3 linked regions of the Diceros bicornis minor genome follow. The main gene of each other region encodes a partner of the protein of the gene in region 3 in a complex. Links are inferred from orthologs where the notes say so. Each region holds a gene or a part of one and is shown on either strand. Other genes may lie near its edges.

Region 1 (10,550 bases), on a different chromosome or scaffold from region 3:
ATCCCAGCTGGGCCCAATTACCAGGCAGCCCGATCTTTGGCCTCAGGATCACTTCTAGCGTGGCCTTGTTGAAGATCTCTTTGCTGACCTTCACCTCGGCCGGCCCGTACACGCCTGCCAGGACGGAGGTATCCCCTGGGGAGACAGCATGGGAGGCCTCACCCACATCTTCCCTGCCTCTGGGGCCCAATGCGTGGTACTTAACAGTGTGGGCACTGAGCTGGATGGCTGGGGTTCCCCACGTCACCCCCACTCCAGCCCACTATTTGTTGGCAGTGATTCTTTGAGTACTCGCTTCACTTGTCTGCCCCTGCTTCCTCATCTGTAAAGTGGGCATAACAACAGTACCTCCTTCAGTGTTGTGAGGATTAAATGAGACCATCCATGTAAACACTTATGACACTGCCTGGTACATGCTGAGTGCACAACAGACTTTAGCTGATATTAACTTTATGGGAAGTTCTTCCTGAGAGCTAACCTTCCTCCCTCTTACTGCACTGGTCTCAACTTTTCCTTCCAAAGCTTCTCTCAACCCAGCTCTCTTCCTTCAGGCTCTTGTCTCCAACTCTGCAGCAATCAGGACACCTGAAAAAGGGACAAATATCTGGGGGTGGGTCCTGACTCCTGCTTATTTTCCCAGAGTGGGAATGAACGGGGGCAAAGAAGGTAAGACCCGGGAAATAAAGGCCTCGCTTCTGGTCCTGTCTGCCTCCTACTGGCTCTGTAACCTCAGCTGATTTTGCTCACTTCTCTACCATTTGCAAAATGACGAGACTGATTACAGCAGCGGCTTCCAAACTTTTCTGACTATAACTCCCAATTTGTTACTGTTAGTACCATCAAGTCAATTCCGACTCCTAGTGACCCTGTGGACGGCAGAGTGGACCTTCTCTGTCTTTTTGAGCCATCCTCTCGCCTTCTGGCACTGTATCAGACAATGCTCTGCTGCTATTCATAGGGTTTTCATGGCCAGTTTTTTCGGATGTGGCTGGGCAGATCCTTCTTCCTAGTCTGTCTAGTCTGGAAGCTCTTCTGAAACCTGCCCACCATGGGTGACTCTGCTGGTATTTGAAATCCCAGTGGCATAGCTTTCATCATCACAGCAACACACAACTGCCACAGGATGACAACCGCCAGACAGACGGGTGGCGTGGTTCCCTGACTAGGACATAAACCCCGGGCCGCAGCGGTGAGAGTGCTGAATTTTAACCACTAGACCACAATAACTCCCAATAAGAAATACATTTTACAGCAAGTCCCAAAACTCACGCAAATCCGTGTGTGTGTAAATGGAACAGAGCGCTCACAAAACAGCTCTTATCATCACTGCTTTGCTACACTCTGATATTTTCTACTCTATTCCAGATAAAAAGAATGCTGGTTGCAACCCACTAACACAGTGGTTCTCAACCCTGGCTGCACACTGGAATCACTGCGAAGCCTGAAAAGATGCTGATGCCTAGGCCCCTCCGTGAGAGATCCGAATTCACTTGCTCAGGGGTGGGGCTCAGGCACTGGGAGCGTCAGAGGTCATCCTAATCTGCAGCTGGGCCTACACTCTGCAGCTCTAGCACAGCTTCAGAACACTGGCCTGCAATCAGAATCACCAAGCAGTGAAAAATGTGGAGGGTGAGCCTTGGTAGGCGTGGGGTGGGTTCTGGGGTGCTGCATTTTTAACAAGCTCACCAGAGGTCCTGAGGCCAGAAGCACACAAGGGACATACTCTTGAGGATCTGCAAGGACTCCTCTTGCTCCAGGGTCCTGGGGCTTTGCGGTTTTACAACATGCAAGGGGCTACCTTTCTCCTTATTTCTTAAGTTCTAAGAAACTCCAGGCATCTGAATTTAGCAAGAGAGCTAAGCCTGGGGGAGGGCCTGGGTCGGAGCTGTTTTTCCTGGGGCTTGGAAGGAGGAGCTGCCACACAACTGAGGAATTCTCATGGCTCCTGGAGAATCTGCCCTAAAGGGGGAAATTACCCAAGCAGAACTAGATCCTGCTGGGGGCTTCATTCCTGTTACTCCAGACGAGCTGTCTGTGGTCCACCTGAGCATAGGACCACCCTCCCCTCTCACGTTCTTGAGCAATTCTTTCCTCTTTGGACCCACATCCATCTTCAACTCCTGCCCCACCTATATGATCATCTTACAGCAAAGCTCTGGAAGAGCTGTCTCCACTGGCTCTCTTCTTCCCTTCTTCGACCCCACCACTCCACTGGAGCAGCTCTTGATGGCGTCACCAGTGACCTCCAAATTGTCAACCCATGGGTCTATTCCATCCTCACGTGATGCAACCTCTCAGTAGGACTGACGATGCAGTTGGTCGGCCCTTACATCTCAAACACATTCTCTGGGCCCCAAGTTACCACCCTCTCTCGGTTTTCCTCCTACCTTGCTAGCTCCTCACATGTTAGAAGACCCAGGGTTTAGTCCTGCAACCTCTTCTCTTTTCTATCTATACTCATTTTCTTGGTGATTTCATCCAATCAATAGCCTGAAATACTATCTAAAGCCAGAGGATTCCGAATTACATGTCCAGATTGGGTCTTTCTTCTGAATTCCAGACTTGTATGTCCAACTGCCCAGTCCGCATTGCCACTGTGATATCTACTAGGCACTGCAAACTTAATGTTCCAAACTGAACTCACCTTCCCCCAGCACAGCTGATCTGGGGAAAAACCTTAGCGTTATCCCTTTCTTCTCATACCCCAAAACCAAACCACCTGCAAATTTTGTTGGTTTTACCTTCAAAATAACCCCAGAATCTTACCACGTCCAGTGCTTCCACTCTGGTCTGAGCCACCATCATCTCCCCCTTTCCTCCATACCATCTACAGTCAACACCGCAGCCAGAGAGATTCTATTAAAATATACTCAGACCATGTCACATGGCTCCCATGGCATTCACTAGGCCTTCTGTGATGTACAAGCCTCCTTACCTGTCTCCAAAACCTCCTCCCACTGCTCTAGCCACGGTGGTCTCCTGACTTCCTCAAACATACCAGGCAAGTTCTTGCCTCAGGGCCTTTGCCCTTGCTGTTCCCCATGCTTTGGTGTGCTTTCCCTCCTGATATCTTCAGGGTTTGCTCCGTTACCTTTAGGTCTTTATTCAAATATTACCATCTCATTGCGGCCTCTCCTGACCATCCTGTGCAAGATTGCAACCCTCTCTGGCACACTCTATTCCCCTTCCCTCCTAATTTTTCCCCATGGCATTTTACTTAGTTATTGTCTGTCTTCTTGACTACAATGTAAACTCCATTAGGTCAGGGATTAAAAAAAAATTTTTTATCATGTATTCTCCCTGCCTAGAACAGTACTTAGCACAAATATGTACATGTTCAGTGAAGAAATGAATGAGACGAGCTTTGTACTGGGTAGAAGGTAATGCCCTAGTGAGGGGACTGAAGCATCCATGGGGGTTATCCTTAGGCTTATCTCCAGGGCAATATTTATCTCAGTCAGGGAGTGGAGTCTAGTTTGAGGGGTATTTAGCTACAAGAAGGGGATACTTACTCAATAAGTAAGACCTGCCCCAATCTAGCGATATTTACTCACATGGAGAGATGTGTATCCTAGTCAAAGGGATATTTACCCAATTGGTGGGGTGGGGACATTACCCTCAATCTGAAAAGTATTTACTGGGGTAAAAGATCTGCCACGGTCTGGGAAGTAATTAAGCCGGTAGTGGTGACTGGTCAGTCTACCGGGTATTTATGCAACTGGACAGGTTTGCCTCAGCCTGGGATGTGTGGACTCAGGGTGTGCGTGTGGGAGACGAAGGAATCTAGTCAAAGGGGATATTTACTCCGGTGAAATTTTCCCTATTCTAAAGTATTCATTCTTATGGAAAGGTCTGCCCCGCTCTCATTCTGAAGAGTTATTTACCGGAATGGAAATATCTTCTTCCTTCTAGTCGGAAGAGATATATGTACCCTGGCGTACCTGGTAGTATCCAGCCAGGCATGAAGTTGTGTGCCAGTCCAGGAGGGACATTTACCAGCTAGTATAGGAGGAGGAGGGCACTCCTTTGCATGGTACACTGCAGCCGCGCCCCAAAACAATTATGACTTGAGGGAACACGGCCCGGGCAGTATTTACTGGGTTAAGTTCTTACCTTGCAGGAAAGAGGCAGAGCCATCCGGCCGGGACAGCAGGTTCTGTTCGCAGGCAAAGTGCCGGAGGCTGCAGCCGGGGCCTCGAGGGTCGGATTCTGTTCCGGACTCCTTACGGATCTTGGCGTGAGTCTGCATCGCCCCGGATCCCACGTGCAGCGCGGACGGTCGCTTCCGTCCAAAAGCTAGCGCTTGCGTACTGGCTGCGTATTCAGTGCGCACGCGCCGATCCAGGAGCCCGAGCTTTGGCGCCCGCACGTGGCTCCACGTTTACCAACAACCTGACCCCGCCCACCCCGCCTCTCAACTTCAGGAAAACCATTGGACAGTAGAGAAGAGGGGGCGGGCCTTGGCATGGGCTCCTCCTACCCGAGGCCCCAGGGCCCTAAAGCCCTGAGGCACTGGTGAGGTTGTCCTCTTCTTTGCCTGTTTGCCTGTTACGGAAACAGCTACAATGAGGCGATCAGAGTAGATTTTGGGAAGCCAGATTGTTTTATCCATCCATCTATGTGTCCTAGCGACCGCAGGACTGGTAGTAGGTGGTGTGCTGGCAGGGTGGTACTGGCATTTGAGTCAGATTTATGAAGGGGCAGCCCCCGGTCTCTCCGAGGAGAGGGGCGGGTCACCGAGGGTTGTTAGCCAAGATGGCGGTGGCGGCTGCCGCGGCGAGTGTGTGGGGGTCAAGTCGAGGCTTGGGTCAGGCTGGCCTCTTGCTCCTGCGGCGGACTGGGGTTCGGGGGCTGGCTAGATCTGTGAGTACCTGGGGCACTGGGGAGTTTTCCACAAGGAGGACTATGGATTCCAACGCTATCTTGAGAGTATGGGGTCCCTGCAGGGAGGGAAGGCAGGGCTGTCACAGAAGGGACAAGGGCTGGGAGAACCACTCGGAGAGGACACTCAGGAAGAGAACTTCCACTTCCTCAGGAGAGAAAAAGCAGGCAGCTCCTTTGTGGGCCCTGAGGGAGGGAGACAACTTGGAGAGAGGAAGGGGACTTACTCCTTGGTTGCCCCCCAACCCCCGGGGAGGCCGCTTGGAGGGACTTGGGAGGAAGACGAGACTTTTCCGCGCAGGGGTTGGAGAGTGAAAGGGGAGACTTTCTTCTCGGTAAAAATCCCCTCTTCAAAGAGGATAAAAGAGAGACCAGGTCCCCCGTCACGGGCTTTTATAGTGCCCTGTATTTCTTTGCTCCTTGGCTACAATTCTGATTTTAAAATGAATTGCGTAAAAAAATCGTTTGATCCTGTGTTCTCTGATAAATGCCAGGACAGGGGTCTTGTCTGTTTTGGTCACTCTACAGAAGAGAAGATCAGTAAATATTTGTTGAATTAATGAAAGGAGAGAGGTCCAGACTTTGCCCGCATTTCTTAGCAACACTTAAAAAATGCCTCGTTTCTTGTCAAAAGGGTGAGACTCCCTTTAGGTTGATGCTGCTATCGGCAAGCTCCCCTAGCACAAATCTAGTTGGAAGCTCTTATTTAGAGGGAGAGAGGCAGTGGGCTGCAGGAGAGCTATGAACTAAAATTTTACAGGTAAGAGAGAAGTGGTTCAAAAGGTGGGTTGTGAAGCTAGACCATGTGGGTTCATATATGTAATGGGCCACTTTCCAGCTGTGTAGCCTTGGGCAAGGGACTGCTTTTTGCACCTAATTTTCTCTCTCTGTAAAATGGTAACAGTGGCCACCTCATAGGGTTGTTGTGAAAATTAAATAAAGTGCTAAGAACTGGATCTGATATATGATAAAGGATATAGGAATGTTGACCGCTGTTGAAAGTGAGGATGGAGGGAAGGGACAGAAACCGACCTTGAAGATGTGAAGAAAGGAGGTGACTTTGGGAGGGCCTGGATTGGTGAGGGCCCTGGAGGGAAATATGTCAAGATCTTGTGGGGTTGGGTCTGACACTCTGATCCCCAGTTTATAAGGAAGGGAAGATGGAGTCTGGGAAGAAGCCCTAGGTAGGGAGAGAGACAGGGCAGGAAGGTGAAGAGGATGGGCCAGGAGTAATATGTGGGAGGATCTAGTGCCGGTGTTAACTTGCAGCAGGTTGCTGGGGCAGGATGGGGGTGGAGCATTCTCCTGCCTTTTGGTTGTTCTCTGTCCCTTTTTTTTGGAGCAGTCAGATTCTCCACAGCTGATGTCAGTCCCAGGAGCCCATTGGCTGGGTCAGTGGGGCGGGACCGGACTGGGGCAGGAGTATGGAAAGGTCATTTATAGCTGATTAAATCTGCTTCCTTTCAGGCTGGTCTCCCTGCTGCCCTTCCTTCTTGCCTCCCTCCTTCATTTTTTTGGGGTGAAGGTGGGGGAGAGGAGGAGGTGTTTCAGAGTCCTTACTTTTTGCTTATATATATATTTCTTTGCTGATGAAGATGCACCCTGAGCCAACATCCATGCCAATCTTCTTCTACTTTTTAGTATGTGGGCCGCCAGCCCAGCATGGCTGCTAACAGAGTGGTGTAGGTTCACGCCCAGGAACTGAATCTAGGCTGCCGAAGGGGAGCATGCTGAACTTAAGCACTAGGCCACCTATATATTTTTAATTTATTAAAGTCCCTGCTTTTTCTTCTCCACTTTTATTTCTCCCACTTATTCTTTCTAAGATTAAAAAAGAGGCATACTTTTTTTGAGCGGAGGAAAGATGTAGTAGCATTTGATCAAAGAAGATTTTAGGCCAGGGCTGTCCAATAGGACTTTTTGCAATGATGGTCCAGTACGGTAGCTACTGAGCACTCGAAATGTGGCTAGTACCACTGAGGAACTGAAGTTTTTGTTTCATTTAATTTTAGTGAGTTTAAATTTAAATAGCAGGTGGCTTGTGGCTGCCATATTGGATGGTGCATTGTTAGCCAGTCAAAGTGAAGCCAAGAGATAGTGTCTTGGGGGAAGGTGAGAAGGCTGTCGTGTAGTGGGACAGATTGGGTTGTTGGGGCAAGCTGGGTTGGGAGGAAGGATGGGCTGCCTTACTGCGTCCCTGCCTGCTTGCCCCTCTTTTCCCCATGCCCTTTGCTGAACACCCTGATGCCCTGGAGGCATTTGCCTGATTTCTGCCTCCCTCCCCCGTCTAGTTGCTAGCAGATGTTTTAGTGCTCAGGGAGAAGAGGAGGAAGAAAACTCGATTGTTAAGGAGTCCTGAGTGGGTTTCTCAGCAATCATCCCTAGAAGCAAGTGGGGCCTTGCCTTAACTCCGCCGTCTCTGAGAAGCTTCTCCTCATCCTCCGCCTGATGCTGGCTAGTGAAAGGTTCCTCCTAGAGCTGCAGCAGGCGCTTTATACCTGCCTCACCAAAAGCCTGTGAAGTAGAAATTCTGATTTTTTCCACCAGGGGATGCAAGTTCAGGGAGACTGTCTCCTGCCCAAGGTGACATAACTGGAAAGGGACAGAGCCGGGATTCAAACATAGGCAGTTTAGCACTAGAGTCCTTCATCCTACCCTGCCCTGTGGTTAACTACTGAACTATCCTGCTTCCTCTGAGATCGCCTCTCTTAATTGTAACTTGTGTGTTCAGTGTTTGTTATCCGTCCCTCCCTGTCGTCTCCAGCCCTCAGTTCAGGGCCTGATTTGGAGCAAATATTCACTATCTACCTATTTGACAACAATAATTGTCAAATACACTTGTTAGCTACTTATATTTATCAAGCATTTATGTGCCACGCACTGGGCTGAGCACTCTATATACATCGACTCATAATCCTCGTGACCCCTAATGAGATAAGTACTCCCATCACCCTCAGTTTACACACAAGGAAACTGAGGCTCAGGCTGCTTTAGTTACACAGCCAGGAGGTGCGGTCTGCTCGGAGTCCTTGCCCTTGACCTTGGCGCCCGGGGGAGTGGCTCCACCAGGGACCACACTACTACCTGCTGGGCCTACCAGACCACCCAGAGCAGGCCTGTTTCCTGCGTAGTGGGAGAGGATGTGGCTTCATGCTTTGTGTAAATCTGCACAGCTTCTGCCATTGTAAGTCGCTGGCCAGTGGGACAAACTCACCCTCCCACCAAAAACAAGAAGAGATGGGTGGAGTCACATCCTTTCTCTGCAGGCCTTTTACCACCCACTGCCTTAATGGGACATTTCCTCAGGGCCCTAGCTCCTTGAATCAGCACGGTAATCCTGGGCTGGGTACCACCGGCATCTCTACAGGCCCAGGAAAGAAGGTGTACAGCCAAGGCCCAACTTGTATGTGGGGTGTGCCAAGGCGCCCTGACGGTAACTCTGCAGCCTCCACAGGCAGAGTCCTGCCCTGACACCCTGGTTGGTTCTGAGCCCTGTGACCCTGTCCTGACCCATGTCATCCCCTGACCTACCCTCCTAGAGCCCCTTCCCAGACCACAGCCCTCGTCCTGTTCTGCCTGTGTCTCCTCTGGGCCTCAGTCTCCCTCTAGAGTGTCTGCTGGGGCCACAGTCTGGAATCACAATCCAGTGTGAGGGGCATTCAGTCCTTCTCCCCAATCCTCTTTTCCCCTCTTCCTTCTGAGGTGCCAGGCATTTTTCTTATTCCCGTTTTCAAACCTTCCTTGATTTTGTTTTTTCCCCTTCTACCAGCTTTTGGGCATATAATATGTCCCATGTCTATGCTGAACTCTGTGTGTGCCTTTTCTTAGGAACTTTTCGCCACAGCCCTCTGCAGCCTTTTTGCAGATGAGGACATTCAGAGAGGCAAAGTGTTTTGCAGAGGGCCATGCAGTGAGATAAAAAATTGGAACCCAGGTCAGTCGGACTCCAAAGCCTTGAACTTAACCGCTCATTCATCTGTTCGTTCAGTAATGGCCTGCTGAGTGCCCGCTCTGTAAAGTGACCTGGGCGTGATCTCTGTCTTCCTGGAGCTTGTGAGGTGTGTGAGAGACAGACAGGGACAAACGGATCCTCCCCGTAGATGGAAAGGTCCGGCCATGTGAGCACACTGCAGGGAGAAGCCTGGTCTGCGAGTTTGACTGCTTCCCTCGCAGGCGGAGGGGAATCTGCTTGTGATGGTGTCAGGCCTGGGCCTGCCCTGCTGTTGGGGCTGTAATTTCCTTTATTTCTTCACAACCACAAATGCACATAAATGCATCCATGTTCCCGCTCCCCCGCTGGAACCTTGGACGGCTACTTCACTGCAATGAAAGGTGGGAGGGAGGGGAACACACTTGAGCACACACACGTGAGACCCAGCTCATGGCAAACCTCAGTCATTCTTCTTTAGCTCCTATGGGAAGTGAAGCCGCGATTACTGAGCTCAGAGCCAACTGGCGACGGTGGGAAGTCAAGAAGTAGATGTGTGGAAACCTGACCAGCAGTGGCACTTGGGGTTAGGATTGTGAGTTTGGGGTCTGGGTGTCAGCCCTGCCCAGGTTTGAAGCCCAGTCCTGACTTAATTAGTTGTTTATTTTTAGCTCTGTGGCCTGGTGCAGGTTACTGTACCTCCCTGAACCTCAGTTTCGTTATCTGCTCAAAGGCAGTAGTAAAGAATGCCTGCCTCACAGACGTGCTCTGAGCACTCAGTGCAACTGTGCATGCGGAGCTCAGCCTGGCACCTGGCAAGTGCTGAAGCAAGGGGCACTGTTGCAATCCTGAGACCAGTCCAAGGCTAGCTCAAGGGCTAAGAAAGCAAATCGGTTCACATCCGTTGAGCACGTAGGCTTCTCCCGGGCTTTGCCAGCCAAGCCTCCTCTGATCCGAGGGATGTGAGCTCCCCACAGGACTGCTCCAGCCACTCGGAACTCCCAGGTTCCACGGGGGACACGCCATTCCTCACTTTGTGCCTTTTGTGTGCTCTGTTCCCTGGCCTTGAATGCTCTTTCCCTGACTCCTAGACATCCTTCAGGCCTCAGCTGTCACATGACTTACTCAGAGAAGCCTGATCCTCTTTCTACTCTTCCCTGGCTTCTCCTAGGAGAATATGGGTCACCCTCATTGGTACCTATTCAGCATCTGTCTTCCCTGCTGCATCTCTTGGGTCCCGCAGAACGCAGCACAGGGCTTGGAATGAAGCAGGTGCTCAAATGTTTGTTGAGTGAGTCAGTCTGGGCTGGTGGAGGGAGTTAGGACGGCAGTGGAGAGGGCATCGAAGCGTGTGGAGCAGTTTGCCAGGTGATGGGGGAAGAGGCATTCTAGTAAAGAGGTGAGAGCAGGGACATGGTGGGAGAAATGATAATCAACATTTTTTTGAGCATTTACTGTACGACTTAACAAGAACTCTGCTAACCATTTTATACACAAGATCTCGTTTAAGCCTCGCAACACTTCCATGAGGTGTTCTCCATTCTACAGATGAGAAAGGAGAGACTTGAAGAGGGGAATCACTTTCCTGTGGTTGCTCAGCAAGGGATTTGAACCCAGGCAGACTGACTTTTTTTTTGAGGAGGATTAGCCTGAGCTGACATCTGTTTGCCAATCCGCCTCTTTATTGCTGAGGAAGATTGGGGTAACATCTGTGCCCATCTTTCTCTACTTTACATGGGAC
Region 2 (10,748 bases), on a different chromosome or scaffold from region 3:
CCCCTAGCAGTGAGGGCAGGCCTGGGAGCCCTGGCAGCACTGCTCTCTGCCCCCTGGGCCCAGCGGGGCACCAACTCTGGCCCCTCTCCCAACAGTGCAAACTAAGGAGCTGCACTCCATCAGGGGGGAGCTGAGCCAGATCAAAGCCCAAGTGGACCACCTATTGGAGAGTCTGGAGCACATGGACCAGCAGAGGGAGCAGCGTCCAGGTCAGGCACCCACGAGTGTGGGCCCAGGCCACGCTCTTAGCAGGCTCCAGCTTTTCCTACTCCTGAGGGTGCCAAGGGTGCTCAGGGTCCTGCCTCTGCTTTTCCTGTCTGCAGGGATCCTCCCTGCCCCCCGGAGTGCACTTACCCCACTCTCTCTGGCTGTTCCTGTGGCTTGAGGACTCTTGTGGCTTCTGGGTTGTCCTATCACCCCCACCCACTCAGCAGCTAGCTGGGGCTTCAGAAACCCAGCCATTGACTGGTTACTCTCCCTGCACAGGGACAGAGAACAGCGAAGAGAACAGGGGCCCTGGAAGTAAGGGTTCCTCAAGCAGAACCACTGAGCCCCAGCAGGAGCCCGGGGGCCAGAGGGCCCATCCAGAGGCACACAGCTCTGAGGACAGCACAGACCCGGAGGAGGCAGTGAGTGGCCTGGCACCTCCTCCCATCTTCCCCCTCCTTGTGGCCTCCCTGTGGGCCAGGGAGGGACTCGGACTTGTGTGGGAGCCCACAGTGGTGGGTTGGGGGAGAGGAGGCATGACTTCAACCACAGGCAATGCTCAGGATAAGATGGGCCCTGCCCTGCTTTTTATCCCCTCTCAACTCAGGCTTGGTCAGCTCAGCTGGACCAGTTCTGGGCTGAAATACCATCTCATCCTGATGGAGGGGGTTAGGGGAGGGCTTTGAGCATTGTGGAGGGAATGTCACAGGTGTGCCTCGTGGCCCCAGATCCCTTGCCTGAGAATCACTTGGTAAGCTTGTTAAAACTCAGATTTCTGTCCTTTTCCTGTCCCGGGGCCCCCACCTGCTGCCCCTAGGGTCTTTAGACTGTCTGCATTGTACCACGCTCCCCAGGGAAGCTGTGGCACAGACCTTTCTGGATGGAGAATATCCACACCTGGATCTAATAATAACCCTGTGTGCATCATTAAAGGGCCAGAATGTTCCCTGTCCTACCATATCCTCCTTCCCTATTGGTGGTCCCTGAGGCGGACCAAGACCCGCTGCTGTTTGGGCCACCTCAGCAAGGCTCAGGCTGCTGGGGGTTGGCAGTGACGAGCTCCCCTTCCTCCACCCGCCAGCTCTGCCCCTTGGCCTGCTGGGTTCCAGAGGGCTCTCACTACTGACCAGCCCAGAGTCACATCTGGAAAAAGACAGCTAGATGGAGAGAATGCTTTCTTTTGTCTGATAGTTCTGGGTTCCCAGGACTCAGGAAGAATCTAGAACAGCACTGAACTGCCAAACCTGCCAAGAAAGGGAGGTGGGGGTAAGGGGAGACTGGGAGATGTTAGTAGATGGCCCTCCCTTTCCCAGTCGTACGGTGCCTCTCAGCCCCCCTGACCCAAGCTCTGCTTCTCTTTTTCCTACAGGTGAAGAATCATGCTTCGGACCAGGAGGGCGGCCAGTAGGTTGGAATCCCTCCGGGCTCATTAGCTCCAGGCACCTTCCCCGATGGCCCCCTTCCTTGCCTTGTGTGGTTTTTCAAAGGCCTCCTGATGGCACCTGTGCAACCGGAGTCACCCATTCTGGAGTGAAGGCAATGGTAGTGGAGGCACGGCTCAGCCAGACCAGCCAGGAAGCTTCCCCACAAGGGTGGCTTTAGTTTTGGAAGTCGTGTTTCCAGATGATAGCCCGGGGACTGGTAGGGATGGGAGGGAGGAGGCCTGCAACTGCCTAGAACCACCTCACCATCCTCATCCAGTCTTGCAAGGGGCAGCTGGACAGGGACCCCTGGGAGCACCAGTCAGTCTCTCTGACTGCAGGTACTGCTTTGGCTGCTCTTCTCCCCTCCTGAGACCCCGCCAGTCCTGTCTAGGTGTGGAGCATCCTACAGCAGCTGACCTAGGCAGCTTTCTCCAGCCAGTGGTGCAGAGGAAATATACTTGTTCCTACAGTCCCCCTTCCAGTCTGCAACTGAGTTTTAAGGTCCTCGGCATGTGCCCCACATAACCCCTTTTAGTTCCCGACTCCCCATCCACCCTACAAAGCCATGCTTCAGAATAGAGGCATCGTTTTTATGTCCTGTTTCTACCTTGTCCCTTGCTGCTGTGATACTATGTATTTCAGGTCTGCTCTGGAAACGTATTATATCAGAAGGGGAAAAATAAAATCTGCATTTCTTTTCCCTGGTCAGGGGTTCTTGGTGTGGTCTCTGAGTCTCATTCCGGTCCTTGGGGCTGCCCCAGGCCAGCCCTCCCTAGAGAAGCCGAGCAGGCCTCTGAGACAAAGTTCAGCAGCTCATACCAAGCTGGGGCAGAGCAAGGACAAAGCTGCCCTGCCTTCCTCCAATCCAGACCTGAGCACAAACCCGAGGGGCTGAGGAGCCACACAAAGATAACCCCACCCTTCTGGTCAGTCAGCCAGGCTGGCTCTGCCCTACAGAATGGCCAGACTGCATCTGGTTTTCCAACATCCAGAAGCTCTCACTCCTGGCAGTTCATCTGCTCTCTCCCAGGAGCCAAGACTGGACACAGGGCACCAGATAATGAAGCCAGCCTGGGCTCCCACTTCTTACCACCAGTGGAGGAGGTCCCAGGCTGTGCTGCTCTGCATATGGCCAAGGAAGGGTGGGATCTGACTTCCATCCCGAGCCAAACCCTTCCCAACTACCCAACCCTGAGCTGTAGTCTTGCCCAGCACCAAACCAGAGGCTAGAGGGGTGCACCTGGAGCTCTCCTGGGGCCATACAACCCTCCCCACTCTTGTCACACCTCAGCAGTGGCCCAACTCTGGCACTTGAGGGGCAGCTTCTCCTCCTCCAAAATACATTTCCCTGCATCAACCTTTTCAGCCTGTCTCTTCTGCTCGTGTTAGTCTAAGGGACAGGACACATTTAAGACAATGCTGTCCCAAGCCCTTGACACCAGAGGTCCAAGAACAAACTATCCAGCTCAGAAAAGCCTTGCTCCTTTAAATCCTGTACCAAGAAGAACCACAAAAGATTTTTTCAGATATAAAACGGTTTTTGTTTTGTTTTAGCTCAGATATAAGTGAGAATTCACAGCCCCCTTGTCCATTCTCTCAAAAGCAGCCCAATTATACAGGCAGGAGTCACTGGCTGGCCTGCATAAGGTCCACCCCTTACAAGACCATAGCTCCAGGTCCCGTTTTCCAGATTAAGTCCAGCTGAAGTCTTTTCCAACTTGGGAGTCAGGCTGCATCGCAGATTTCTTCAACTGGGTCGTAGATGGGAACCAGCTCAAGTAGAGAGTGTCTTTAACGGAACAGCTTGTAAAAAATCGTTCCAACACAGCTGTCCAGAGCATCAGTTCTGTGCGCACCTCCCCAGATCCTCTCCCGTGCTCCGAGTTCTCAGCTCGGCGCAGTGTGGAAGCCGACGGCGCAGGTCCTTTCGGGGACGGCGGCAGCTCAGTCCACGGCGTCCGTCATTGCTTAGGCTTCTAGTTCACGACGGTGCCGTGGAAGCGTCCCTCCGGCGGGCGGCCCGCACCAAGCACTGCTGCAAGACGGGGTAGAGGCGCTGGCAGCCCTCGAGGCCCAGGCGCACGGCCTCGGCCCAGCTCTCGGTCGGGCCGCCCTCCCCGCTGCCCAGGAGCCCGGCCACCTGGTTGAGCACGGGCATGAGCGCCACCGTGAGGCCGGCGGCGGCGCGCTCCTCCTCGAGCCGCGTGGGGTCCAGCAGCCAGGTGGGCGCGGGCCCCGGCGCGCGGCTCAGGCCGCAGCCCACCACCAGATCGTACATCTCCACGCCCGCGTCGGCCAGGGCGAGCGCGGCGGCCGTGAGCGCGGCGGCCAGGGCCGAGCCGCCGTCCTCCAGCAGCAGCGCCGACACCTCGAGCTGCGCGCGCGGGTAGCGACCCAGGCGCACGGCCGGCTCAAGTGCCTCCTGCAGGGCCAGCGCCAGCTCGCGCTCTTCGCCACCGCCCGGCGGCGCGCGGCGCCGGCGGCCCGCGAAGGGCGCGCGGCGGAAGTCGCAGAGCAGGCGGCCGCGCAGCGCGGCTGGGGCCTCACCACCCGCTCCGGCCGGGCCGCCGCCGCGCTCGCCGCCCTCGGCCTGGCGCGGACCAGACACGGCGCACAGCACCTTGGTGCCCCCCGCCTCCAAGTAGGCCGAGCCCTTGGCCTGGCTCAGCAACCCGGCGCGCGCGTACACGGGCCGCAGTCGCGTCGGGTCGCGGGCGGCGGGCGCCTCGTCCTCGTCGGCTGCGTAGAGCTGCGGCGGCTGCGACTCTTCGGGCCCGCGGATGCGACGATGGTCCCCGGGCATGGCGACGGCTGGCACCCACGCCGCTTCCGCCCGTCGGCCCGGCCTCGCGCGCCGGCTCTTCCGCCCTCTTAAAGCCGCGCGCCCGCGCCAGGGCTGTCGGGATACCGGCGGGCTGTGCCGCCCGCCCCCTGCCGTCCTGGAGGGAGAACGGCGAGAGCTGCCGAGCCACGGGGCCGCAGCAAGGACGCCCAGAGCTGAATGGATTGATGGATGAATGGACTGGCAGGCCTGCCGTAGTGGGACCTGGGCCGGCCCGGCTGACCTCTAGCCTCCCGGGCTAGGGCAATCCCAGGGCGTAGGTCTTTTTCCTATCACTTGTAAAGGTTGTAATTATTTTAATTTTGCTCTTATTTGTGTGACCATTTTATGTGTGTCCCCCACTGCCTTGCCCAAGAGGGCAATGACCTTTTGTCTTGTTCACTCCTGTATCCTCAGTGCTCTTGCTGGCATAAATGCCTGGTGAATGAGTGAATGGAACTGTCTCCCGCAGTGGACTGTGTAAGCTCTTTGTATCGCTAACGCTCCTCATGTGGCTCGTTGCTTGCGCCTCCCCCTGCCTGCTTCTTTCACACTCCAAGTGAGGACAGCCCCTCACCTCCAGGCCTGCCTGTGACAGCTGCTCTCTGCTGCTGCTCCCAGCATAGACCTGCCTTTCCTTCTCCCTCCACATCAGCAGGGCTGAGAGGGACCCTGGGCCCCAGGGCTGGCCTGTTCTACCCCGGGGACATGAAATCAGCCAGAGCTGGCACAGGCAAGCGGTACCTTTAACCTCCCCTCAAACTACTGTCTCCAAACCCACTGTCTTCAGACTTGGGTGAATGCACTCAGGGCCAGGGCAGGGTCTCATGCTCACTGTCCATGTTTGGGTCAAAGAACTAGGAATGATGGGGCAGTCAATGGAAGGGAGGCAACTAATGCACCCCAGTACCTCCTGTACCAGAGAACGCCTCTGGCCTCACACCCGACCTCAACATCAAAAGGAAGAAGAAGAGGGACACAGGCCTAAGAAATGGAGAGGTTCCAAGAAAGGAGCCTCTCTCTGCTTCCAGTAACCCTGGGGATCATCTTCTGTTGAACGATTAATGTTTCTCTCCACCTGACCCCACCTGTCCTGAGGGCCACCTCCACAAACGTCTTGAGGCAATCCCAGGGGCTGTTCCCAAAGTTCAGGGGTCTGGGTCTGGGCTAGGCGGAGGACTGCAACCAGAAGCCAGCTGGAGCCACAGCATTTATTCCACAGACACCCAGGGAGCCACGCTGATACACAGGGGGCACCTATTGGCTGGCGGGGGGGGGGGGGCGGTGGCAGGGGGTTAGAGATCACACAGCATCATCAAGTATTGCACATGGTCCTTTTATTCTTTGCAGTAAAAATGATTCCTCCCTGCAGACCCAGAGCCTCAGGTCTACGGAAAACTATCTATAGACACGAGCATGACAATGATAAATAGCAATCCTGGAGTAGTGGTTCTAGACAGATGGCGCTGACATGGAGGGCTCAGGGCAGAAATGTAATGTGAGCATGGAGTCACAGGCCGGCTCCTAGGTAAGTTCCAGTTACTGCTGGGTTAGGAAGACAGATGGCGCTGTTTAAAGATCCCAAGATTCAAATGTCCTTGTGGTGGAGGGAGAGCTCCTGGCTGGACGGATGCACCTAAGTGAAGGGGAAACGCTTCCCAGTGGAAGCTGTCCCCCCCATCAGTTCTTTACATCTCCCAGACGGAGCTGGGCAAAGGAAGTGGCCAGCTGCAGCGCCTCCTGCAGGCAGCCCACGTTCTTGCCTGTGGCCTGAGCAGACACATCCTTGCCACCACCTTTGCCATCCATCAGGCCTGACACCTGCTGCACCCACTCACTGGCTTTCAGACCCCGATTGGCTGCATTCTGGAAGACAGGAAGGGGATGTGGGAGTCAGGGCAGAGGACAGGATTAAGGGAGACATGGAGAGGTGAGAGAAAGCAAAAGGATGGGGTAGACAGACACCCACTACTGTGCTAGGTGATGCTGCCAACATTGACACAGATCCTACAGCTGGTACCACAGCCAGGACGAGGCATACTGAATGGCAAAGCCAGGTAGCAGCCAACACAGTTAAACATATCCACCAAGAAGAGGGCCTCAGGGTAAGGGATGCCGGAGAAGGTGACACACAGGTGGGCATGTGTAACAGGGCTTGCACAAACATACACGGGTCTTGGCAAACAACGGTAAGAAAAACCAAGCTCCCTCAGAAAAGCTACAGACACCACTTCCCACTGGCACAAGGCTGCGGGGCATTCTGACCTGGGGGACTTGACACAAGCACGTGATCCTGCCAGCTTCATTATCCACTGTGAAGAGCATGGCAGACGTCTGAGGGGAATGTGTCTTGAAGAGTTTCAAGGCTTCATTCAGGGCCTGCGGGGAGAACCTGGTGTCAGACCATGGCCCTGGGGAGGAGTCATGCTCTCCACAAGTGCAGCGAGTTTGCGGAGCTCAGTTCTCAGAGCACCCCCCACCCCTCACGCCCACCCCCTTCTAAGAGCAGGTGCTGGGCCCAGGAGCCTGTATGGAGAAGGACCCAAGTACAGGCCTTGCCCACGCTCTGCCTCTGAGGTTTGCCTTCTACCTCCAGGAGCCATAGCTCTCCAGCCACCAGATCTCTCCAGGGCTCGGCCTGACCTCAATCCCAGAGTGGGCCCTCAGGCAGCCACTCCGCTCAGAGCCACAAAAGCTCACACTTCAGCCACCAGAGGGCTGATGAGACCCTGAGAAAAGGCGACAAGCAGTGGACAGGCGCAGAGCGGTGTCTGGAGCCCCAGCCCCTAGGTTGCCTTGGCCGAGGCACCGCTCTCCATCTCCAAGATGACAAGGGGCTGGTTGGGGTTGCTGTCAATGAGCTGCTTTGTCTTCTCCAACACCTGCAAGGAAGGAAGTCCAGAAGAGAGGCCTCAGGTCACAGGCCCAGACTCCGACACCCAGAGAGCAGTCTGCATAGCCTTTGCTGGGTAAATCCTCCCTTCCAGCCACCAGCACTGCCAGGACTCACTCGCTTCTGGACATCAGCTTTGCTAGCCCGGTCTAGGTCATCCATGATCTTCTTCAGGGATTTGAGATTATCCCGGAATTCATCCTTCTGCCACTGGGGGAGGACTGCGGTGGCCAGGGCCTGGAACCAGAACGAGAATACCACTGGGTTCTGGACCACAAGGAGCAAGGATGTGAGGCTTCAGCCCACTCCATGCCTTTGGCTTTGAATACCAGAGTCCTCCCTGACTAGTATCCAGAAGGAGAGAGAAAACAGAGAAGAAAAAGGTACCCACTGGCCTTGAGAGCAGTCACTTCATGAGCAACTGCAATAGTTTTAACAAGGGGTAGAGAGAAAGGGGCAGAATAAAGAGAGCTGGGATCCCCTATAAAACCTGGCCCCTAGCAGGCAGTGAACACAGCCTTTGATGGGCTAACAGGAAGCCCCTGAATATTAACAAACACCATGAGGCCTGGAAACAGTGGGCACCCACGGCACCTCCCCCAACTCTCTATACCGGTGCCCACTCATGCTTGGAATGGGCTCTCCTGCCATCGGTAATGGGGGGTAGCAGGAGGTTTCAGGGGTCCATAGGCCAGGATCCATGGAGTCCCCTTTGCAAGGCTGCAGGACAACAGCAGTCAGTCCAAAGGCCCACTGCAGTGAGAATCAGGACCTGAGAGTTCCTCAAGAACAGGGAATTTCTGATTCATCAGACCTAGGACCCGGCACTCAGAGGACTCAGGAGGGAGAGAGGGAGGCTGCCCCTACCTCACCCAGGTCAGCAATCTCCCTCTGCACGTCCTTGTTGGGCGCAGTCTGGGCTTTCACTTTGGCTTCCATGACAGAGAGAGATTTCTTCAAGCTCTCTGCTTTCCTGAGGGCCTGCGAGAGGGATAATCAGCGTTGTCAAGTCCAGGTCAGGTAACTTTCAGCTCACTATTCTGTCTGTAAACAACTGTGGCAAGCACTAATGGCAGGCTACAGAACAACACACCCCAGGACATGAGAAGCTTCTCTTCTTTCAGAGAGCAAGTGTTGGCAGCCTCATGCCCCAGGCACCTACCTCACGCCTGGTCAGCAGAAAGGCTGCACTAACTCAGGTTCAGGGAGTGACCGAGAACTTGTGAGTCAGGAGCCCTTCTTACCCCATGAAATCACCCCCCTTCAGGCTTCGGCACGCATCAGGCACAGGCCATAGTCCCCACCCCTGGAGCAACTGATTCTGTCCTCCACGCATCTCAAATTAGGCACGTACCCCTAGGGAGATGTGGGTGAGTGCTAGGGGCAGCGGAAGCCACAGCAAAACTATGGCTGACCCTCCTACACAAGGATATATTATGGAATAGATGGCAGAATTTACATATATTTTTAAAGATTAAACATAAGATAGCTCGGAAGTCTTGTGTGGTGGTGGCTTTCTCCTGCCAGGTGGGGGTAACTGAGGATATTTCGAGGGTAGTACTGTACTTGCAGTTCTGACTGCAGCAGCCACATAACTGTCTGCACTATGGACTTGCAGACTGGGCTCCTCTTCCCTTGTTCAAATAAGCCACAAACCAGCCTGATCTGCTCACCTTCTGGGCTTCGGCACCTGTGACAGCAACAATCCTCCGGATGCCCTTGGCAATAGCTTCTTCACTCACAATCACAAAAGCTCCCGCATGACTTGAATTCTGCAGGTGCCTGATGCAGAACACAAAGTCCATGGTGATGAGGAAGCCCAGGGCCCTGGCCTCCTACCGCAGCCTGGGAGCCCTTGGCTAGGGGGCACAAGCCCTGTGAAGTAGTTGCTCCCAGGGAAGCTTCCCCAGGGACAGTGGGAAAATGGAATTTCAGAATACAGCTCTGGCTAGGAAGGGGAAGAGAGTCAGAGAAGGCCTGGGGCTGAGAGCATTGTGACACTGAGCAAGACACAACCTTTCTGAGCCTCCGTTTTCTCAGGTATAAAATGGGGATAATTCTCACTCACAGGACAGATGTGAAAATCAAACGAGATCAAATGAAAGTGCTTTGTAATCCCTAATACCCCATACAATATTACTACTGGCAGCCTCTACATTCATTCACATTTTTGTCTTTGGTAGAACAAAAGCTATATTCTTCTATCCCTGCTCACTGGCTGAGAATATTGGAGATTACCTTTAAAATCTTACCACAACCCCCTAAACAAACAGGTTTTATTCTCCAGTTGCTCAGAGAACCTCAAATGCTCATTAACTCTCACAGTGATTCTGTGAAGGTGGTATAGTCTTTGAAAGCTGTTTCCTGTGCTCTAAAGAGTGTCATGTAAAGAGATATTAAGGCAGAAGTGGGACTCATTTGAAGGCCAATTTAGCTGGGCAGAGGGAGGCCTGGAATGTGATCTCCCAGATCCCTACCCAACCCTCCACATGCCCACCCATTCCCTGCTTGCCTGAGGCCTCAGGAGGCCCTGAAACGGCTCTACCATGGCCTTAACAATATTCTTTTCACCAAGCTTCTTTTGGAAGCTGGAACTTCCCAGGCCACCATGACTGTCTCAAAAAAACCCCAAGGGGGCCGGCCCGGTGGCTTAGCAGTTAAGTGCGCACGCTCCGCTACTGGTGGCCCGGGTTCGGATCCCGGGCGTGCACCGACGCACCACTTCTCTAGCCATGCTGAGGCCGCGTCCCACATACAGCAACTAGAAGGATGTGCAACTATGACATACAACTATCTACTGGGGCTTTGGGGAAAAAAGGAAGAGGATTGGCAATAGATGTTAGCTCAGAGCCAGTCTTCCTCAGCAAAAAGAGGATTAGCAAGGATGTTAGCTCAGGGCTGATCTCCCTCACAAAAAAAAAAAAAGACCCCAAGGGCTATAGAGGTATCTCAATTGGCAGAAACCAGTGGCTCCGCCAAACCCAAGTGAACTGGGTCTACTGTGTGGCCTGACTCAGGGGCTCTGAGAAAAGGGTGAATTGCCCAGATGCGGCTCAAGCTGGCAAAGGGAGCTAAGTGAAGCCCTAGGAATGCAAAGGGGCTAGGACCAGATCAGAAGCTTGATAAGCACTCCACAGCCTTGCTGAATCCTGAACTCATAGGCCCTCTTGTTGGGATCAGCCCAGGGAACAAGAGCATGCAATTATGTGATGTTAAGATAAGCTTTTTCAACCTCTCCTAGGAAGAACATTTCATCACAAACCCAGGAAATGGAATGTCAGACCCTAAGGGGTCTGATTGGAGCACTAGGATGCTAAGATCCTTGGGAATATTGTTTGGCAACTGCATTTCTGAGAACTTCATTTCAACCTTAGAAAAATGAGAGTTGTTCTAGCCTATTACA
Region 3 (10,878 bases):
GCAATCTGTATTAGTTTCCCATTGCTGCTGTAACAAATTACCACAAACTTAAATGGCTCAAAGCAACACAAATTTATTATCTTACAGTTCTGGAGGGCAGAAGTCTAAAACGTGTCCTCAACGCTACCTTCATTTTGGAAGCGCTAGGAGAGAATCCATTTCCTTGCCTTTTCCAGCTTGCAGAGGCTGCCTACATTCCTTAGCTCATGGCCCCTTCCTCTGTTTTCAAAGCCAGCAGTATAGCATCTTCTCTCCTCTCTGACTTCTGCTTCTGCTGTCTCATTCGTTCACCCCTCTCTCCCTTCTTCCCTGCCTCCCTCCCCCTCTCTCCTTCCTTCCTTCCCCACTTCCATCCCTCTGAACCTAACTCTACTGCCTTTGTATTATAAGCACCCTTGTGATTACACTGGGCCCACCTGGATAGTCTCGCCATCTCAAAATCCTTAATCATATCTGCAAAATAACTTTTGCTATACAAGGTAACATATCTACAGGCTCCTAGGACTGGGATGAGGACATCTCAGGGGAGGAGGCATTATTCTGCCTACACACACCCCATAATAGTTGAGTTACAAGTTTAACCCAGTTAACAAACTCTACTTTTATTATTTTATTGTTTCTAATTCTATTTATTTGTAGAAATCTCATTGGCATGGAAATTTTCTGGATCATATTTATTGTTTAGACATTAAACTATATAATTTCCTACAGATTTTTATCAATGAGCAGGAAACTTCTTTTTACAGATGAGAATAGATCAAAGGACTTCAGTCATGTGCCTGAGATAGAGCCATGTGCCTAATTTTCTGTGTCCAGGATTATTACCCACATGTAACAACAGTCCGAATGCAGTGGAAATCAAAATGTCACCTGACTCTCTTCCCCCCTCACTTTGTTGTACTTATGATAAGCTAAAGACTGATAATTTTTATTCCTCTAAATATATAGGAAAAGCTTAATAATGACATGAGAGATCATTATATAGATTTCTGAGCATAGGAAACGATAAGAATGAAAAGGGAAGCTCTTTTAACTATTCAGGAGAAACTAGAGATGAACTTGATAATCTAGGGTTTCTTATTTATAATACGAAGAAAACAATATGGAAGGGAAATATATACTACATCTAACTTGTTAGTGTTCCGTTGTTGTCTTAGTCCATTTGCGCTGCCAAAACCAAAAGAACACAGAATGGGTAGCTTATAAACAATATCAATTTATTTCTCAGTTCTGGAGGCTGAAAGCCCGAGATCGGGGTGTCGGCATGGTTGGGTGAGGGCTCTCCTCCAAGTCGCAGACTTCTTGTGGTATCTTCTTATAGTGGAAGGGGCCAGGGAGCTCTGTGGGGTCTCTTTTATAAGAGCACCAATCCCATTCATGAGGGCTCCACTCTCATGACCTAATCACCTCCCAAAGGCCCCACCTTCTAACACCATCACCTTTGGGGGTTTAGGATGTCAACATATGAATTTGGGGGGGACACAAACATTCAGACTATAGCAGTTGTCAACGCTTAAAATCTTTTCACTTATTAACTATGTGGTTTCCAGTTTGAGTCTTGAAAAACAACAAAACAAATGTCTTTGTTAAAAGGTAGCTGAGGGCCGGCCCCGTGGCTTAGTTGTTAAGTACGCGTGCCCCACTACTGGTGGCCTGGGTTCGGATCCCGGGCGTGCACCCACACACCGCTTCTCCGGCCATGCTGAGGCCGTGTCCCACATACAGCAACTAGAAGGATGTGCAACTATGACATACAACTATCTACTAGGGCTTTGGGGAAAAAAAAGGAGGAGGATTGGCAATAGATGTTAGCTCAGAGCCAGTCTTCCTCAGCAAAAAGAGGAGGATTAGCACGGATGTTAGCTCAGGGCTGATCTTCCTCACAAAAAAAAAAAGGTAGTTGAAAGCCAAAATTCCTTTAAATAAAAAAACAGTTAAATGTGTCAGAACAAGAAAAGGAAACTGTAACTATTTATTTATTTGAGATAACATTGGTTTATCACATATAAATTTCAGGTGTACATCATTATATTTCAATTTCTGTGTAGACTACATTGTGTTCACCACGCAAAGACTAATTATCATCCATCACCATCCACATGTACCCTTTTACTCCTTTTGCCCTCCCCCCTTCCCCTCTGGTAACCACCAATCTAATCTCTATATCTGTGTGTTTTTGTTGTTGTTGTTTTTATTTTCTCATTATGAGTGAAATCATACGGTATTTGATTTTCTCCATCTGACTTATTTCACTTAGCATATTAACCTCGAGGTCCATCCACATTGTCACAAATGGCAAGATTTCATCTATTTTTATGGCTGAGTAGTATTCCATTGTGTACACCTATGTATATACCTATATATACACACACATATATATACGCATACATATATATACACCTGTATATATGTATATACCACATCTTTATCCATTCATCCATTGATGGGCACTTATGTTGTTTCCAAGTGTTGGTTATTGCGAATAATGCTGCAATGACATAAGGGTGCAAATATCTTTTCAAATTAGTTTTTTTTTTCACTTTTCTGATGATAAAAGCTATTCATGTGCCTTACAGAAGATTTAAGAAATTCATAGAGAAAAAAAATTCAAAAAGAAAAAAAATTTTCCCACAATCCCATCACCCAGATATAACTATCTTAACATTTTGCACTATTTCTTTGCAGGATAATTTCTGGAAAATCAATTTCTATATAGACAAATTGTACAGCAGACATAGTACATGGTAACTAAAACGTAAGCTTCCATTTATTCATCCATCCATTAATTTCTTTCACCAGACATGTTGTAATAGTCCATTCATGCATTTATTCACAAGGTACACTACCAGTCTCAGTGGGTGCTATAAAGGTTAATAAGACATGGATCTTTATACTCTAGTAGAAGTGTATTTAGTCAGGATTCTTTTGGACACACTTAACAAAAGACCAACCCAAATGTATTGGCTCACCAACTGGGAAGTCCATGAGCTGTTGCAAACTATTTCTACTAAGGGGTCCACTTCTCTCTCTGATTTCTCAGTTCTGCTGGCCTCTGACTTCATCTTCAAACAGGTTCTCTCCATGTGGTGGCAAGATGGCCCCTGACAGTTCCAGACTTGCATGGTCCTTAGAGTTTATAATCCTAGAGAAGTAAAGACCTACTCTCTCCCAGAATTTACATGTCAAGACTGATGGAGAAACTCTGTTTGGCCCTGCCTGGATGAACAGTCAATGAGGAGAGAGGGATAGAGTTCCATGATCAGCAGGGCCTCGTCACACCTGTGCCTGCTATTAACATTAACACCAGAATCACGTGGGGTCAGGAAATGGCATTTCTCCAAGAAACAGAAGGGTGCTGGTCAGACAAAGTAATAGATGTCCAATAAAGAGGAGAGAAGACATATACTCAAATATTTTTTTAAAAACCAGGTTATATTTAGACAGATCATCCAGGGTAATAGGCTGACTCAAACTGATTCTTTTCTAAGAACAGAATGTACATTATCTGAATCTCTTCTCAAACTTCAAAACTTTTTTTTACCCTTGAAAGCATAAAACAAAGGTCCCTTGGGTGTTTCAAAAGTTTCTTAGTAAAAACAAGGTTGTGAAGTAAATTCATCTTATGTTGATACATAGATGTGAGTGGAGATGGGTTGTACACCTTTGGATGAACGCCAATGAAAGGCAAATGCAGCCGTGTTAAAATTACAATAGTATAACACATAAAGTAGCAAAGAACGGTGGAAATTCTACAAAAGCGGAAGGAAAGCAAAGGCAAGGGAATCAAGCAGCAATCTCAGAACAGCAATCTGACATGGCGAATTTGGGCAGTTTCACCGGAAGCCTTTGCCAAGCCAAAATAGGAAGGAAACTAACATTTGAACAGCTATCCTGTCCAAAATATGGTGTTAGATGCTTTCATTCAGACCACTTAACACTTATTATTCCCAACCTAAAGATACAGAAGCCGAAATTCAAAAGAATTATTTAACTCACCCAAAGTCCATTTAAGCTGAAATTTATCTGAAGCCAAAGTCCATTCTTTTTCCACTCCCAAGCTGCCGCCCAGGAAAGGACAGACTATTTCAATAAAGGCCTATTTAATTTCTGAAGGAAATGCCCACTAAGAGAACCCAAGGATTGAAACGACAAACTTAGCCAGGAGTTCTGTTGTGAAACTGTACTATAAACACGAACCCATGTTGTTAAAGGACTTACATGGCCTGGACCACGTAATCCCCTGGCCTATTTTGAAAATCAATCAACTGCAAAAGCACAGACATAATTTCTGTACACTCTCCTCCTTCACAACCCCTGTCTCCAGACCATGTCGAGCTCATCCTATCTCAGTCTTGGCTCATGTGGCTCCTTCTGCCTGAAAGTTTTCCTTTCTTCCAGATGGTATCACGGCACTCCTTCTCATCAGTAAGGATTTACTTAACTCAAATTTCACCTCTACCAAGCGACCTCTTCCTGCAACCACCCCTATTAAAATCGCATTCCCGTTCCCAGATAGGACTCAGTGTGTGAAACTTTTATTTATTTGTTTAGGTTTTTATTGTTTGTCTTCTCCAAAAAGAATATAAATTCCTTGAGGGACAGGATGTTGTTCACTCTCTGTTTCTCCAGCATTTGAATTATTCTTGGGACACAGGAGGCCCTCACAAATAATCTAAGTAATTTATTGAACGCATGGATTGCGAGCGGTACAAACTGAAACTACAATGTATCACTGGTAGGAAAAAAACCTGCGAGAAGAGACAAAAGAAGCGGAATGGAGCCTGTGCAGGAGTTACAGTGCCTATCACCTCTAAATCAAATGGAAACAAAATAATAATATGCAAACACTTTAAATAGCGCTTACTCCATGCCAGGCACCGTTTTAAGCATCTTACATGTATTAACTCGTTTTTATCCTCATAATAATAGGTTTATCACTCCTGTTTTGCAGATGAATAAAGTGAAGCACATAGGCTAACTTGGCCAAGGTCACAGAACTGGGAAGGGCAGTCAGAATTTGAACCCGGGTATTCGGAGTTCCTGCTTGTAACTACTCGATACCGCCTCTCCAAAAAAGCCCAGCGGTTGACAGCACTGACACACTAAGGTTCCTCTATGCCCATAAAAATAAGTCTATCGGCTTAAAACAACTGGAGAGACCGTAAGAAATAAAGAGCGAATTTTGTTTCAGCCAATGCCAGTTATATCATTAGTTACAAAGCGGGACTATTCTCAGTTCTTGGCAACTTCTCAGGTCTACCAGATTTCACCGTCAGCCCGCAACAACACCCCAGCTGACTCTCAACTGGCTTCTCCCCTCTCCTGTCCGCTCAAGCCGCTTCATTCCACCGTTTCCGCACTGAATCTGCTCCCAACTCCGCCTCCGCAGCTTTCTCGTGGCCTAACCTCAACTCCCGCACCTGGAAAAGAGCAGTAATGCCCGTCTAGCCTACCCCGCTAGGACTGCGGAGAGGGTGAAGTGTGAGCGCGCTACAGTGACATTAATTTCTATCACTGATGGTTATTTTGGGGTCTTTTTCTCCCCTACACTTTACGACAAGACATACAGATTTCCGTTCAGAAACTCGCCTCCCCACGCCGCTTTTTCCTCCCAGCCAGCTCACCCTCCTCCATCCTCTCTTTGAGCCTGCGCACTAGCGACGGCCCCCCACCTGTGCTTTCCCAGCTCAGCCGCCGCGCTTTGATGATGTAAATCTCCTGCGCCGCCAAGCGACTCGGGCGCGCGTGTACAGCCTCAGGTTCAGTTTTCCCACCGATTCCGGTGCCCGTGGGCCCCGTGACCCGACGGCATGAAGGAGACGCCACTTTCAAACTGCGAGCGCCGCTTCCTACTCCGCGCCATCGAAGAGAAGAAGGTAAACGGCCGCGGGGAACTTGGCGCTGCGTGGGCGCTCGGGTCGCGCGGCCGCCCGCAGCCTTCCGGCTGGGACGCACAGGCCGGGCCCGCGCAGGCCCGGGAGCCCCGGGGGAACCGGCAGTGCGTTTCCCCGATCCCCAAGGCTGTGTTTGGCTCCGGTGGGTTCTTTCAAGGCTCAGGTCACCCCAGCGACTGTCAGCGCCCGGGCACCTAGTTCCCACTTTCCTGTGGGGGGTGGTTGGGATCCCACTTTCCTCCAAGTGTGTAGCCCAGGGCACGAAGTGGCTGCTCAGTAAATATTTGCTAAAGGAGTAAATGAATGAACGTTGTGCTTGCAGCGGCTGGATGGCAGACAAACCTATGATTATAGGAACATCAAGATCTCGTTTGGAACAGATTATGGGTGCTGTATTGTGGAACTTGGGAAAACAAGGTAACAAAGGATTCAAATTAGATATAAGCTCAGTAGGGAGACGTTTAAAAGAACCTTATAGGCTCAGTTGTTTACCCAGCAGCTAAGAAGTCTGGGCAGTACTTTGTTTACCTGCCAAAAATAAGCATATTTTCTTTAATGCAAGATTTTTTTTTGTTTTATAGTCACTTTAAATTTCTAATCATAAATATGTTTTCTGTCACATGAGTAGGGCATAGTTCTTTCTGATCTCTATAAATCATATATACACCCAGCAGTGATTGCACTGAATTTGTTTCCTACACTTCTTGTCATTAGATAGCTCCTGCTTTCCTCTTTTTCCTGAGTGACATGAGATTTAGGTTTTTAATATTCATTTGGAATTTGTGAGGATATTGCTTAGATAATGTTCGAGAACCATGCCATATGAAAACTCTTCAGAAGTCTGAAGTTTTCATGCCATCTATTATCAGTAAATATTTGTTTTAAAAAAGAGAAGTAAATGCTATTGGTTTTTTTAGAACAATCTGTGGAATAGTCAATACTGTAATAAGAGATGTTTTTTCCCGTCATCCCTTTGGGTATGCCAGTGTGAGTTTTATTTCTGTATATATTCTATGACGATACTTTATATGTAATTTCAATCTCTAATGATATATCATGCTGAGTATGTTATTACTCAGAGTAAGATTGAATCTTAATTGGTATCTGATTTAGATTTTTTTTTTTTTAATTGGAAAGGAAATATATGTAGTTAACAGATTTGTACTTTATCTTTGCAGAGTCCTTGGACAGGTTTCCTGTGAACTTGTTTCTCCAAAACTCAATAGGGCGACCGAAGGTATTCTTTTTTTTAACCTTGAACTCTCTCAGATGGCTGCCCCAGCTTTTGAACCTGGCAGGTATTTAAGTCTTTTTCTTAAGCTGCTTTAGCCAGAAGAGAACCTAACAGCAGTGAGCTAGTGTTTTAATGCCAGGTGTTATATTTCATGACATTAGCCCATTCCTATTTTCATAGGCAGTCAGATCTCTTGGTGAAGTTGAATCGACTCTTGGAAAGATGTCTACGAAATTCGAAGTGTATAGACACTGAATCACTCTGTGTTGTTGCTGGTGAAAAGGTGAGGAACATGCCCAGAATGCTTTTTTTTGTGTGTGTGAGGAAGATCAGCCCTGAGCTAACATCCATGCTAATCCTCCTCTTTTTGCTGAGGAAGACTGGCCCTGAGCTAACATCTATTGCCAATCTTCCTCCTTTTTTTCCCCCCTTTTCTCCCCAAAGCCCCAGTAGATAGTTGTATGTCATAGTTGCACATCCTTCTAGCTGCTGTATGTGGGACGCCGCCTCAGCATGGCTGGACAAGCGGTGCGTCGGTGCGCGCCCGGGATCCGAACCCGGGCCACCAGTGGCGGAGCGCACGCACTTAACCGCTAAGCCACGGGGCCAGACCCCAGAATTCTTAATCTTAGGATGAGCATTGTTGATTCATGGATCCCTCTATGTATGCCTTCATTCTCAGAGCTTCAGTTAATTCTGTTTTATACTGGTCCATTTCACTTCAGATGTTCCTCACTGCTGCCCGTAGAACTTTGTATTGTCTCTCTCTGAAGGGACAAAAAACATTGGTGAAAATAGTAACTTGGATTTGTGTAAAAATGTCTTATTCCAAGCACTTGTGGTTTTTCATATATTCTCATTTATTTTCTTATATTATTTAAGTGAGTTGTTAGAAGTGAGTAATGTTTTCCTTCTTTATGGACAACAAACTGAAGAACAGATTAAATCCTTCATTTGGATATTGACTTATATAGGTCCACACAGTGAGTCAATGGTCGTCGGAATAGGAAATATTACTCTCCATAAATTGTGCTGCATGATGATATTAGAACTTTATTCTGGAATAGGGTATTTGACCGTCTTTTTGACTCCAGAAAAGCTACTTACTTAACCTTTCCACATTCTGTACTTGAATATGTTACTTCCTATTTGCATTACTTGTAAGGTTAGCATAAATACTGTCAAGTAAAACCTAAGAGTTTGAGTTTTTTAAGTTAGGAAACAATAAAAATATAATTAGGCTTGGAATTAGGGAAATCTTAGTATTAAATGTAGAGTGGTTCTGTTTATTTAGAGTATATATTTTACTGTTGTCAAATGACTCATAGAAAGGTGAACTATTGGTAATTCAGATGTTGGTCTTGCTTAACATTTTTCTAAATACATTTTTAATTTTACGATAGAAGGAGTAACTGCATATTTTAACAGCAAGAGAAAAATTTGCACACAGTGTTACTTTTCCTTGTAAATAGCCACTGGTTATGATAAGTAAGGATTTATTTTTGTTTTAAATTCACAATCAGGTTTGGCAAATACGTGTGGACCTACATTTATTAAATCATGACGGAAATATTATTGATGCTGCCAGCATTGCTGCGATTGTAGCCTTGTGTCACTTCCGAAGACCTGATGTCTCCGTCCAAGGAGATGAAGTCACACTGGTAAGCTCCCATGTTGTGAGCCGGGCTCATTCCTGTGATGAAGCCTGGCAAGCAACGTGTTATTAGTGAGGTCTTGTAGATGGCAATTAGGTATGTTCTAAGATTTGTTCATAAGGCAGAAACTGCATGTGGTCGAAATTGCCCTTGGAATCTCTTAAATCTCCTGAATGGAAGTGTCTGTCAATGAAAGCACTCCTTAGCCTGGTTTTCTAGAATAGAACTAGATGACTTCTTCTTTGGATTGAGCACTTAGATGAAGTACTTGTCTTATATTTAGGGGCCACTTTGTGAAAAATACATTGATTCTAAGCACAGTGAGATGCTTATTCTTACTCTGTGGCAAAAGTCCATCAGAAACACCTGGAAGGCTTGTTGAACCATATGGCTAGGCTCCACCCTCAGAGTATAGGGATAGGACCTACGAATTTGTACTTCTAACAGAGTTCCCTGGTGATACTGATGATGCTGGTGCAAGGAGCGCATTTTGAAAACTATTGACCTATACTGTTTACATCGTCTTTCTCTTTTGTGCTGAGTATGTCAGTTTATATAAATTACACGCTAGAATAATGAAAGTGCACCGTGGTGATAGTTTGAGACCTGAAGTTGCAAAAGGAAACATCAGATGCCCAAATTCTCTAAGCAGTCATTCATGATGCTGCTTTTAGGCATTAGACTGGAACAGACTCTTTAAAGACTTTCAGACAGAGACAGAGGTTTATTAACAATAGAGACATCTTCCTTTAGAGAAGGGAGTTGGTATAAGGAAGTAAAAAAGTAGAGAGCAATTAATAGACAAAAAAAGATATCAATTAAAAAATACTGTTGAGTTATTACTGGCAGTAATGTAAAATGGTACAGCCACATTGGAAAATTTTGGCAGTTTCTTAAAAAGTTAAGTCTTAACTTATACAGCCCAGCATTCCGTGCCTGGGAATCTGCTCAGGAAGAATGAAAGTGTATGTTCACTCAAAGACTTATGTGAATGTTCATAGCAGAATTATTTGTAATAGCCCAAAACCAGAAACAGTTCAAAGGTGCATCAACTGGGGAATGGAAAAACAAAATGTGGTATATCCTTACCATGGAAGACTATTCAACAGTAAAAAGAACCAAACTACTGATATATACTGCAAGATGGATGACACCTGTGAAGTTGAAAGGAGACAGACGCAAAAGACTACAAATTGTTAGATTCTACTTATGTGCGATGCCCAGAAAAGGCAGGTTTATAGAAGCAGAAGTAAGATCAGTGATTGCTTGGGGCTGGGAGCGCAAGTGAGAATTGACTACGAACAGGCTCAAGGGCATTTTGGGGGGGAATGGAAATGTTAAAAAACTGGATTGTGGTGATAGTTACATGACTATAAATTTATTAAAAAGTGAATCATATACTTACAATGAGTGGGTTTTATGGTATATAAATTATACCTCAATAAAGCTTTTTGACCAATGCTAAAGTTTTAAGGAACCTGAGTGGCAAAGTGAAACAGATGATTATAAAAGAAGTTATTTAGGTGCTTACTGAGGAGTAAAGGAATTTCATGTTTTTAATATTTGATGTGCAAGATGACTTTTTGTACGTTCATAACATAGTGACTGATTATTGAAACATTTATTTTCAAACAGTATACACCTGAAGAGCGTGATGCTGTACCATTGAGCGTCCACCACATGCCCATTTGTGTCAGTTTTGCCTTCTTCCAGCAAGGGTAAGTCTCTTCCTGGTCATGGGCTGGAATTGTAAATGCAACTAGGAACTTGTTTATTCTACTCAAATGTGCCATGGACAAATGAACAAACCCCTCCTTTAATATTAAAGCACCTTATAGTTCTTTTCTTGCTTTGTAAGGGCATTAGTTGACAAAGAGTTGTTTCGATAGAAGTGACCAACTTTTCTGTAATGAAGAGACTTCACGGTGTTTTTCTTTTCATGGCATACTTACAAATTTATGAATTCACTGCAGCATCGTAGTGTCTTATCTTTCCTAGAGATGTACAGGTGTTAAGAGAATTGTATGCTAGGCTCTTATTTGGGAATATGGGGTGAGAATTACTGTGGATTAATGGAAGACAGAGTACTTGGGAG

Evidence for each region.
Region 1: EXOSC9 (region 3) and EXOSC5 share a complex: the UniProt entries of both Homo sapiens proteins name them as parts of the RNA exosome core complex. The link is inferred for Diceros bicornis minor from reciprocal best matches to the Homo sapiens genes EXOSC9 and EXOSC5.
Region 2: EXOSC9 (region 3) and EXOSC6 share a complex: the UniProt entries of both Homo sapiens proteins name them as parts of the RNA exosome core complex. The link is inferred for Diceros bicornis minor from reciprocal best matches to the Homo sapiens genes EXOSC9 and EXOSC6.

Annotation. Positions count from the first base shown.
Region 1 is NC_080773.1:15,380,191-15,390,740, forward strand, and holds the start of EXOSC5 (exosome complex component RRP46), read right to left. Parts: upstream 4,613-10,550; coding exon 4,481-4,612; intron 4,355-4,480; coding exon 4,114-4,354; intron 136-4,113; coding exon 22-135; intron 1-21. Other genes in the region: BCKDHA (2-oxoisovalerate dehydrogenase subunit alpha, mitochondrial), read left to right, coding at 4,693-4,863. UniProt on the Homo sapiens protein: Non-catalytic component of the RNA exosome complex which has 3'->5' exoribonuclease activity and participates in a multitude of cellular RNA processing and degradation events.
Region 2 is NC_080771.1:24,926,692-24,937,439, reverse strand, and holds the start of EXOSC6 (exosome complex component MTR3), read right to left. Parts: upstream 4,467-10,748; 5' UTR 4,435-4,466; coding exon 3,613-4,434; 3' UTR 1-3,612. Other genes in the region: AARS1 (alanine--tRNA ligase, cytoplasmic), read right to left, coding at 6,133-6,318, 6,718-6,831, 7,248-7,334, 7,463-7,582, 8,213-8,326, 9,019-9,127. UniProt on the Homo sapiens protein: Non-catalytic component of the RNA exosome complex which has 3'->5' exoribonuclease activity and participates in a multitude of cellular RNA processing and degradation events.
Region 3 is NC_080750.1:15,124,829-15,135,706, forward strand, and holds the start of EXOSC9 (exosome complex component RRP45), read left to right. Parts: upstream 1-5,724; 5' UTR 5,725-5,810; coding exon 5,811-5,876; intron 5,877-6,216; coding exon 6,217-6,311; intron 6,312-7,072; coding exon 7,073-7,192; intron 7,193-7,308; coding exon 7,309-7,411; intron 7,412-8,651; coding exon 8,652-8,789; intron 8,790-10,418; coding exon 10,419-10,501; intron 10,502-10,878. UniProt on the Homo sapiens protein: Non-catalytic component of the RNA exosome complex which has 3'->5' exoribonuclease activity and participates in a multitude of cellular RNA processing and degradation events.